Linked DNA regions of Cricetulus griseus. The protein of the gene in region 3 interacts with the protein of the main gene of each other region in a pairwise test. Links are inferred from orthologs where the notes say so. Each region holds a gene or a part of one and is shown on either strand. Other genes may lie near its edges.

Evidence for each region.
Region 1: the proteins of Ipcef1 (region 3) and Cyth4 interact in binary tests that used the Homo sapiens proteins (3 or more experiments, as listed by UniProt). The link is inferred for Cricetulus griseus from reciprocal best matches to the Homo sapiens genes IPCEF1 and CYTH4.
Region 2: the proteins of Ipcef1 (region 3) and Cyth3 interact in binary tests that used the Homo sapiens proteins (3 or more experiments, as listed by UniProt). The link is inferred for Cricetulus griseus from reciprocal best matches to the Homo sapiens genes IPCEF1 and CYTH3.

What each region holds. Positions count from the first base shown.
Region 1 is NC_048595.1:375,704,824-375,708,474, reverse strand, and holds part of Cyth4 (cytohesin-4), read right to left. Parts: intron 2,265-3,651; coding exon 2,200-2,264; intron 1,119-2,199; coding exon 1,052-1,118; intron 1-1,051. UniProt on the Homo sapiens protein: Promotes guanine-nucleotide exchange on ARF1 and ARF5. Promotes the activation of ARF factors through replacement of GDP with GTP.
Region 2 is NC_048597.1:80,124,154-80,128,403, forward strand, and holds the start of Cyth3 (cytohesin-3), read left to right. Parts: upstream 1-1,390; 5' UTR 1,391-1,553; coding exon 1,554-1,587; exon of another isoform or gene 1,588-1,600; intron 1,601-4,250. UniProt on the Homo sapiens protein: Promotes guanine-nucleotide exchange on ARF1 and ARF6. Promotes the activation of ARF factors through replacement of GDP with GTP. Plays a role in the epithelial polarization.
Region 3 is NC_048595.1:284,043,276-284,046,147, forward strand, and holds the end of Ipcef1 (interactor protein for cytohesin exchange factors 1), read right to left. Parts: intron 1,522-2,872; coding exon 1,318-1,521; 3' UTR 547-1,317; downstream 1-546. UniProt on the Homo sapiens protein: Enhances the promotion of guanine-nucleotide exchange by PSCD2 on ARF6 in a concentration-dependent manner.

The DNA.
Region 1 (3,651 bases), about 92 Mb from region 3:
CTGCTGGGAGTCACAGTGCTAAGACTCAGTGATTCAGCATCTCCTTTTGTTCTCTCCAAACTCTTATTATTTCAAATAGTTTCATTTCATCACACCAGCAATCTGTGCCCATTGTGTAAAAGTCACACAGACCAGCTAAATCAAAAGAGGAGGAGACTGTACAGACCCCACCTGGGAGGTAGCCAGCTTCCATGGCAATGACCTTCTCTCTCCTTCTGTGGGAGATGGGAGGACATGCCCAGCCTCCTTTCACCTTGAAGCCAGCTTTGCCAGATAGGCTCCTGAGCCCCTCTCATTGCTGCCCAGGCACAAAAAGTCACCCCTAAGATTTTGGAGGTCATGGACTGGTCTCTGGTGTTCTGACATCTTGTGTCCCTGCTGCTCTTAGATGGAAGGACTGGGATGCTGTGCACCCTGTGGCCAGAGCTGGGAACATAGGTGTACGTTTGTATGAGGCCAGGTAAGTGGAGCGGTGGTCCAGGGCCTGTGGCTGTGACAAGGGAATCCATGTGCTGAGGCAGTCTCAGCTGTGTCTGTCTGGACCCTTGCCCTAGTACAGTGTATGCCTTTTGTTGCCTGCCCCTACTGGAGAGGGAAACCATGGCCACCTGGCAGAGTGAAGGGCTGCAGGCTGACTCTGAGGTCATGGGCAACCAAGCTTCAAATGGTTTCTGCAGCCTGAACTTGGAAGACATGCTAGGGACAGAGTTCACCACCTAAGGGCCTCACTGCCTTAACCCTGTTCCAGAGGAGGGCTTAGGGCCAGGGAAGAAAGGGAATGGGTCCAAGTGGGGGGACTTCATGCCTCCCATCTTTGGGATGCAGTGCTGTGGAGTGGACAGAAGCTCGCCCCAGCTGGGGACCAAAGGCTTGGCACTGAGGGGTCTCAGCTTTCACCTCTGCTGGCTTGTGGAATCAGCTGCAAAGGTACCCAGAAGGCAGCCTCCTCCCTTAGCTCAGCTTTGCACCTTGGTGAGGCCTACATCACCCTCCTGTGGCCACCCGGATGCCCACTTTGGTGGGATCCATGTCCCCTCCCCTGGATGTGTACCTTGGCAGGGTCCATGTTGAATTTCTTCCTCCCGATACACATCTCCTTCTCTTTCTGTGCCATCCGGCTGTGAACAGGGGGAGATCAAAATGGTGGCTCTAGATGCCACTGTCCCCATAATCCCTCAGGGGCCCTTCCTCAGGAGAGAAACTCCAAGAGTATCCCCTGTGTCTGGACCACCTGGGAGAGCAAGAACAGGATGGGAGGTGTCGAGGGGCGGGGCTGCAAGCTGAGCACTGAACTCTGAGCCCCCCAGGAGCCCAGCAGAGCTCATTGGGGAGGATGCAGAAGGCTGGGGCATGATGGGGCCAGCAGGAACATGCACCCCAGAGGCTGCTCCTGAGCTTAAGTCTTGCTATACTCTTGGGCCAGGCCACTAGAGGTGAGTCCCTTTATCCCTCTGTTTCCTTCTGTGCAAGAACTGCCTGCTGCCCTCACCCAGGGCATACATGGCTGTGTGTGTGCATGAGATGCTGGAGAGGCAGAAGTCTTGGAGGTGGGGCAGGTAACCATGTGTAGTTCTATAGTTCAGTGCCCTAGAGTTCAGACAGGCATGACCAGCCTACTGGGCACACATGGCTGCATTTGGCCCAAGAGAACAATGAACACTACCTACTCAAAGGTAAACTTACTGAAAACATTGAGGTTGTTTTCCAGTTTGTAGCTGAAATGTCATTTTGTTAGTTTTACAGTGTCAAGAGGTTGTAATCTGGGAGATTATGTGAAAACCTGACCTTCTTTTTATACAAATGGGGAAACTGAGGCCCAGAGAGAAGGCCCCTTCCTAGGACAAAGAACCAGCAGGAGCCTTCCTGTGTGACCAATGATGGATGTGGGATGAGGTGGACCAGTGGGGCCTACTCCAGGCCAGGCTTCTGGTTCCCATTTACCAGAGTTTCTTCACCCTTGCCCAGGGGACATTTCTTTGCTCATCTGCTTCCAGCTGTTCCTGATAAATAATATGTGGGGCGGTTGTGTGGGGAGGTGGGATGGAGAGGGGGAGGATAAGGGTCCCTTGAGAGTTTGTGGGGAGTGGTCCAGACAGTCTGAATGGAGCTGTGGCATCTCCTTGGGTCCTACCCCCATCCATGGCACACGGGGAGTGAGATGTACTCAGGGATGGTCCTCCCACTGTCTGGGCTCCTCACCTCTCCTCAGTACTCTCGAAGCAGTCGATTTGGGCAAACACATCTGCAATTTCATCCTTTAGCTTCTGTGGACACACATACAAGGGTCGGCCTGGAGGTCAGGATGTCCCCACAGCTCCCATTCTGCCTGTGGTTCGGGCCTCTCACTGTGCCTTCCCTCAGCCTTCTCACAGCCTTTCCCTCCTATGCCCTTTTACCCTCAGAGCAGGAGCTCAGTGCCTCTGTGTACCCTTGTTCCTCCACTCGCCCTCGCCTCAGGGGTGGGAGTCACTATACCCACACCTGACCCTATTCCCAGCTTGCTCTCTCTTCCCATGCAGTCAGCCACTGCCCTCTGTCCACCAAGCCCTCACTAGACATGGCTGGCAACTTGGGAACTGCTCTCCATTCAGAATCCCCCTGTGGCTCTCTCTGGCCACCTAGGGAACAGACCACACCTCCTGTCTGGCATCACATCTTCTCTGTCACTTTTCAGTAAGTGCCTGTCACATGCCAGGTATCCTAGGGTACCTGAGCAGCACAGGCCTCCCAGAAGCTATGCAGTTCAGTGGAACAGAGGGAAGAGGAAACAGCCATGGCCGACAAGGCATTCACATGTCTACAGTCCCAATTTCAGGCCTGTGCTGCTCTCTACTCCACCCCAGCCTGCCTTAGCCTGACCCCAGGGATTGCTCTGTGCAAAGGAGATCCCCAGCTTGACCACCACCCACATTTGCCCTACTGCTAGGGGCGGGGGAAGATATCCTGGTACCCCTTGCAGGAGCAGATGAACAGAACAAATGACCCAAGAGGCACCCACCCTCTCCCCAAGATGAGGGGTGCTGGGATGTGGTACTCCTGGGGTGTTTCTGGAAATCAGAACTGGTACAGTATCCCTTGCTCCGAGGTCATACAGATCCTGTTCCCAGGGATCTTGGCTGGGCTTTCACCCATAGGTATGTATAATGGGGACACCTTACCAGTGCTGACTGAGCACTTATATGCTCTAGCTGTGGGGCTGGGGTCCAATGGTGAGCAAGGCCCAGCCTCTGTTTTCATAAAGTTCGAGTTTGGGTATGTTGGGATCATGGGTGGGTGGCTCTGGGGCTAAGAAAGTAACCATGCAGCAAGTGACCACAGCAATGGCAGAGAAAGAGCCTGACACATGTGTGCTCAATAGAATCCTAGCAGAGTGGGATCAAGTGTGCATGTGTGTCTAGGTGGCAGGCAGCCTGGAGGAGGAGGTAGGTTCTAACCTGGTTTGGGAAGAGGGAGCAGGAATGTGAGAACAGGGAGGAGCCCCCCCAGGTGGAGACAAGAATGTAGGCAAAGGCCGGATTGAGCAAGGCACGATCGAGGAATCTGAAGGTCACTAACAATCATGGTAGTGATCATCTCAGTAATTGGTGAACACCCAAGCGCTGAGCCCAGGGTTAGTGTGGCCTTGTCCAAAGGGTACATTAGGGAGGAGGC
Region 2 (4,250 bases), on a different chromosome or scaffold from region 3:
GCTTTCTGAGAGCCGGGTCCCAGCTGTGCTGGACAGGGATTAGGGTTCAACATCATGGCTACATTTATTTACAAGCCTTAGTTTGTTAATGTTAAAATGCAACCAATCCACAGGAAAAATGAGACTCCGTTGTTATTATACATCCGAGGGATAAAAGGCTGGAATTATCCTAACATTCCGAGGATGAAGAAGGGTGGAGGTGGGGGTGGGGAGAGGCTGACTTCTCAGTGGGCTCATTTTCAGATTATTATTATTGACAGGTCTCTCTAGGTAGGTCGCTGTGGCTGACCTGGAACTCACTATGTAAACTAGCCCACTTTGAATTCATAGAGATCTGCCTGCTGGAATCAAAGGTATTCACCACCACACCCAACTTTTATTATTTTTTAAAATAAGCACTTAAAATTTTTTGTTTAGCTGGGCTTCATGGCGCACCCTTTTAATCTCAGCATTTGGGAGGCAGAGGCTGGTGGCTCTCTAAGTTCGAGGCCAACCAGCGTGAGTTCCAGGATAGCCAGGGCTACACAGAGAAACCTGTCTCAAATTTTTTATTTTATTCTATGTGTATCTGTGTTTTTCTTGTATGCATACATGTGCACGGCAAGCGTGCCTGGTGCTTGTGGAGGCAAGAAAGCATGTCGGATACCCTGAAACGAGTTATAGATGTTTGTGTGCCCCCATGTAGGTGCTAGGATGGAACTGAAGTGATCCAGACAAGCAACCGGTGCTCTTAATTGCTGAGCCAAGCCATCTCTCCAGCTCCTTATTCTTTTTTAAACTTTTATTTTCTTTTTAATTAGGTGTATGTCTGTATGTGGATATGTGCATATGAGTGCAGGTGCCCTTGGAAGCCTGGGTATTGAATCCTTTTTGGAGATGGAGTTACAGGGAGTTTTGAGCTTCCCCGTGTGGGTGCTGGGAACCAAACTATGGTCCCCCTGCAAGAGCAGCAAGTACCTTTTACAGCAAAACGATGTTCCCACACAATTACTATGTGTATGTAATGTGTGGACGCCCACTCATGCCGAGGTCACAGTAAAACTTTATAGTCCGTTCTCTCCTTCTACCTTTATGTGGGGGACCAGCCTTCACTCTAGATCTTTTCCCACTCCCCTACTCCGTGCGCGCGCGGCTCGCAACCCTAGCCGCCTGGATTTGTATAGTGGGGCGTCCACGTGCCCCTGATTGACAGGGCTTCTTCTCCAGGATGCCCAAGAGTGTGAGAATGGAGGTTTGAAGGAGTGTGCTACTCGGCAGGATCCAGGTCTCTGGGTTAGCAGCTACTGCAAGACCGGGCGGGGTTTGGAGGGCGGGACCGCCCGGCGTCGAGTCTCCGCCCACACCGACAAGATGGGCGTGGCTTTTGGCGTCACGTGACCGCGCCCGAGCAGGGAGGCCCCGCCCGGCCCTCCGAGGAGGCCCGGCTGCGACCCGGGCCGCGCGCACTGAGGAGCTCCTCGGTTCTGCTCGCGGCTGCTTCTCCTAGTCCCGGCTTTCAGCTCAGTCGCTCCCGCCGGCTCCGGGCTCGCCGGCTGGCGGGGAGTGGCCTCAAGATGGACGAAGGCGGTGGCGGTGAGGGCGGCAGCGGTGAGTGATGGAGGTGTGGCCCTCTCTCTGGGCGGCCCTGAGGCCGGGGGGTCGCGCTGTGGAGAGCCCAGGCTTGAGGCGTGGGGCCGGGTGTGGGGTGGGGTGTCGGCGACCGTGGGGAGGTGCGCGGGGTGAGGCCGGGGCTTAGGCTTCGCAGCCCTGGTGAGAGGACATGTCGGAGACCGCGGGGTCGTCTCCCAGAACGGTCGCGGGTCGCGGGTTCGAGGCCGGGGTCTCCGCGGCGCAGCTCCAGGTGGCCTTTCCGAGATAGGCGCACATTTCAGGGCGACCTTTCCAGTGTCTCTTCGCCAAGGGCGTCCACGCCCTCCCGAGCACAGCTGTTTCGGACGGGCCCCGCTCCCTTTCAGCTCTCCTCAGGTGTCTGGAGCCAGGGAGCTTGTGGGAAATAATGGGGAGGGGAAAGTTTTCAATTTGGATGTCTCAGGGGTCCAGCGAGGGAGGGGTGGGGAGGTTGGAGATCACGACCGCATCTCTGGTTTTTAGATCTGAAGTGTTCGCTGCAAAAGGTTTAAACGACAAGAGGGACAGGCACCTCGAGTCCGGGTCTGAGCATACATTTTTATCAAATTGAAAAAAATATGCTACCGGGTAGTATAAAAATTTTAAGAGGGAGGATAAATAGCTCTGTAATAGGATCCATATCTGGCATGCCCAAGGCCCTGGGTTTGATCCCCAACGCTTCCAAAAGGAAAATATAATTAAGAAATTAAAGTGATCAGGTGGGATCCCTTTAAGGGTGGGACTCAGGAGCCGTGGCCAGAAGCATGACTCTGACTCCAGGACAGGTGCGTGGTGGCAGCCACCTTCCCAGAAGTGGGCTCTCAGTTCCCGGTGTTGCTCAAGCTGTTTGTGCCTTGAGTTCCATCCTGCTGCAAATGTGCTGCTGGTCGTAAACTACTCAGTGGAATACGAATTATTGTTGTGTCATCTTGTGAATTTGGTTTTCCAAAAACAGTAAGAGTCGCCGTATGTGGAGTGCATCGCTGATTGAAGGGTTAAGTACCCCTCACTTTTACCCCAACACCCCGACCCCAAGTTGAAGCTGTCTGGACTTTTTGCTGACAGAATGATCAGAATCCCGTGTAATAAGGGAGTGTTTAGGGAAAAAAAAGAGTCTTAATTACAGGCTGTTGGAGCAGCTGCCTGTAAGAATCAGCAGTATTGAAGTCTTCCCGGTGAAGTGGTTAATCAAGGTGCCTTCTAGAATTCCAGAGCTTCCCTGAAAGAGACGAGGTGGCTAGGCTGGTAGGAAGTTGGCACCCCTCGTGGCATTTGCCAAGTTCAATTCTCATAGTAAAAGCCAGGGGTAGCACAGTGGCAGTGAGTGGGTGTTTTGTTTATGAAAAGAAGAAACCCAGTTACAAACCCTCCTCCATACCGGCTGCTGGTCTGGAGACACTAGATCCCTGTGGGTGCCTTGTCTTTCGCCTATATCATCACACTTGGACATGGTATCTTAGAAAAGACAGTGGGCAATATTTAAACGTTTGACTTAGGAAACTAGCTGGTTTGGCGATTGCTTTGCAGGTGCTCCAGATTCCCTGAGTCAATAAATTCGAAAGATTTGAAGGGAAAAGCCACACAGAGGGAAAAAACTTAGAAGCCAATGTGTTTCAGCAGTTTGAGAATTACAATAATTCTAATAATTACAATAATATTATCAAAAGGGTTTAAAACTATCTCTGGGCTATTAATATCTCTTCTGGGACTATATCCCAGAGAAACAATCTTAAAATTAAAAAAAGATGTTACATTCAATGATACCTCATTCCATGGTAAAATGTGAAAAATCAAGGAACAGGTAAGATTACTTTGAAGAGACATTAAAAATAAGCAATTAAGGGGCCTGCTGTCAAGACAGCCTGACAGCCTTAATTCAGTCTCCAGGAGCCACATGGTGGAAGGAGAGAACCAACGCCCACAAGTTGTCTTCTGACCTCCATAGGCAAGCAGCAACAAGCTTGCACGAATACGGACAATTTAAAAAAGTTACCAAGAATATGTAGTTATTTTATACATTCTGGTCTAGACAGTGTAAACACTGGTAGCGGTCTGGATTTTTCTTTATATTTCCCAGGTTTCTTGAATAAAAATACATGCATTACTTTCAAATTTGAAAAAAAGAACCTCAGCTTATAAAAGATGTGGATATTTTAAATGTACAGTGTCATTTAATTCACCTTTTTGGAACATTTGACAATGAAGAGATTTAATTGATTTTTCTACTCAACTGCCAGACAGCATGCTAGGTGATAGAAAACAACTTTTAACTTTCATTGATTTTTTTTAATTACTTATCAAAATCTTTCCTCTTACAGTGTGGAAAGACACTTGCAGGTACTTTTGGCAATCCTAGAGTATTTAATTTTGAACCATTGAAAATCTTCCATAATTTTGAAATGTGAGTCATTATATACTTATTTATGAACTTGATGGATTTCTATATAACTCTTTACCTATGGAGGTTTGAAGTTAGCATATAGTTCCTTGTAGTAATCCCATTTCCATTTTCAAAAACTGCTTCACTTTAAAAAATTGTCTCTCTCTCTCTTTCTCTCTCTCTCTCTCTCTCTCTCTCTCTTTAAATCAGCCCTTTGATAAAGCTGTTTCAGTTACCAGGGAGTTACAAAGCATAGCATTAT
Region 3 (2,872 bases):
TAAATTTCATGAGTAGAAAAGCTAGCCTAAGGTTCAAGGTAAGAAAATTATGTATAACAAGCATTGAAATTTAAGAGTGGTGGAGCAGGAGGGGCAGCAGGAATAGAAGGAAGGCATTCAGAAAATGAATAATTATCAATACATGCTCCCGTAATTTTTCCCATGAGATTTCCTGAGCATTCCTCACATACTATAGTGCAGCACAACTTCAGTAAGTCATTAGTATGCCTATTTTTCTCAAGCAAAAATGATATGCTTCTAGAATATATGTATATATATATATATATATATTGAACAACACATAATAGAACACTGTCTTTCAAAACACTATAATTTGCACTTCTATAAATACATTTAAATAAGAAACATAGCTATTCACATCTCATACTATTTGACACATAAACATACAAAAATAAAACAATCCTAACTGTTTTGTTCGTCTAGGTTCTTTTCTAAGTTCAGAACAATTCAGAAATAACCTTAAGAATTTGGATCCCAAGTAAACTGGATATAAATTCATACTGGGTTAGGCACCACAGTCAAGGATGAACACAGTATGCCATCCCTTGCAGTGGGGATTACTATCTCCTACCACTATTCAGAGAAGCTGGGGTGGAGGACAAAGGTCTCCAACTGTCATGCATAGTCTGTCTCCTAGACATTGTGAGGCAGGGCCACCTTAATCAGATTCCCCACCCTAGGCAAAGCATGCACATAAGAAGATGTCCTCTGAGTGGAACAGAAAGCATGCCTTTTCCCTGGACTCCCCACTCTCTATCCCACTAGGGTAGACTCTTCAAATAAGTGCTCAACAAGTTGAAAAGGCACTGCTCTCTGTACCAAAGACAAGAAGAGCCTTGTGTTCCACAATTGCTAACACATGTTCAGCTCCAAAAACTACTGCGAGAGAAATGCTTCCACTTGAAATGTTTTATAGAGTTCTGCAGCCCACCAAAAGGGATTCTACATGTTTCTTTTGCAAAACGGAATGTTCCTATGAATTATTATCCCTGGTAAAAATCAGGCCTTCTGTCTGTGGTAGAATGTAATTCTCTTGAAAGCAAAGGAGGGGTTACCCCTTAGACATCTCACCTAGAGCCTAGCATTCCTTCCAGCTCCTAGTGGGAGCACAGAAGATAGGCCTGCTCAGATGAACTCCACAACTCCAATATTGATGAACACAACACACGGAAGCCGGGACTCCACTGCATCAGAACTGGCTTCTCCCTGGCTTTGTCCTTAGCAGGGAGGGATGATGCCTCAGGAACTGGGTTTGGACGGCACTGTCACAAGGAAGAGAGCAGTCCTGGTTTCTGCTCAAAGAGAATTCTCAACACAGTCAGAAGAGCTGGGGTTCTTGAGTTCCTGGGAGGCAACTTCAGGGTCCTGAGGTACCTGCTGCTGATGATAGATGTCCTGGATCAGCAGTGTGTTCATGACCTTCCACTCTCTGTACTTCCTGGCTGTCAGCTTAGGATCATCCAGCAGTTGGTTGATCATGGCCAGATCATGTTCTTTGCACTGGCCGAGAAGAAAACAGGAAGGAAGGGGCATCAGTGAGAACATGAGCATCTGAACTTTGGTGAGTCAACTTCCTCAGCCCTTTCACAGACTCACAGACCCATCCACCACAACACTACCGAAGTGGTTTTGCAAATTAATATTCTAATCTCTCAACATGCCTGAGGTCTGGCACAATATCTCTTCACATGTGGAAGCCACCAAGAAGCTGTATATATTCACTCCCCAGGTTAGTGAAAGAACCAGACAGTCTGTTTTCTGTGCTGGCCCCTTGACCCATCTATTACCCCACACAGTAGGGTGACTCCATGTTAGTGTGTGTCACTGGGTGCTGGCATGCCCTGAAGCTTAGTTAGTTGTACACACGGGTGCTTCTCTGACCATCCAAACTTCACTAAGTAAAACTGGAACATAGTACTTTACCTGAGGCATAAGGTAACAAAATATATCTTTTTAAATTTTGTAGATTTTTAAATGATTTTTACTGTCATATTCTATTAACACACATATTTATATATGAAAAGTATGGTTTCCCTTTTTATTCAAAGATGAGATACCTAACTTTCCACCAGAACAATGTGTGTGCCAGTATAAAATAGCCTATCAGTGCTGCTTCCTCGGCTTCACTAAAGTTATAAGAAAAGAAGGAAGCCTCAATTGATAACTTGTTTCCAGAAGATCAGACTTAGGCAAATTCTTAGGGCATTTTCTTAATTAGTGACTAATGTGGGAGGGTCTAGTCCATTGAGGGTGGAGCCACACCTGGGTTCTATAAGAAAACAGGCTGAGCAAGCCAGTAAGCAGTACCCCTCCATGGCCTCTGCATCAGCTCCTGCCTCCAGGTTCCTGCCCTGTTTGAGCTCCTGTCCTAACTTCCTTGGTGATGAACAGGGATGTGGAAGTGTAAGCCAAATAAACCCTTTCCTTCCCAAGTTGCTTTTGGTCATGGTGTTTTATCACAGCAATAGTCACCCCAACTAAGACAATCTGAGTTTGAACCAGCAGCACCCACATAAAAGGCCAGGATAGTTGCATGTGCCTGTAACCTCAGCATTGCTGTGGGGACAGAGACAGGTGAATCTGCAGGGCTCCTGGTACAGTCAACCTCTCAGAAAGGCCCCTTCTCATTCAATGAATGGACCTGCCTGAGAGTCAAAAAGTGGAAACTAATAGAGAAAGACATGTCACTTCTTCTGGCTTCCACATGTGCATGCATGAGTGACTCACATGCATGCACCACACACACACACACACACACACACACACACACACACACACACACACACACACAGGTAAATTAATTAACCAAGACTAAAAAAGATGACAAAATACATTTTCTCCCTCATTAAAT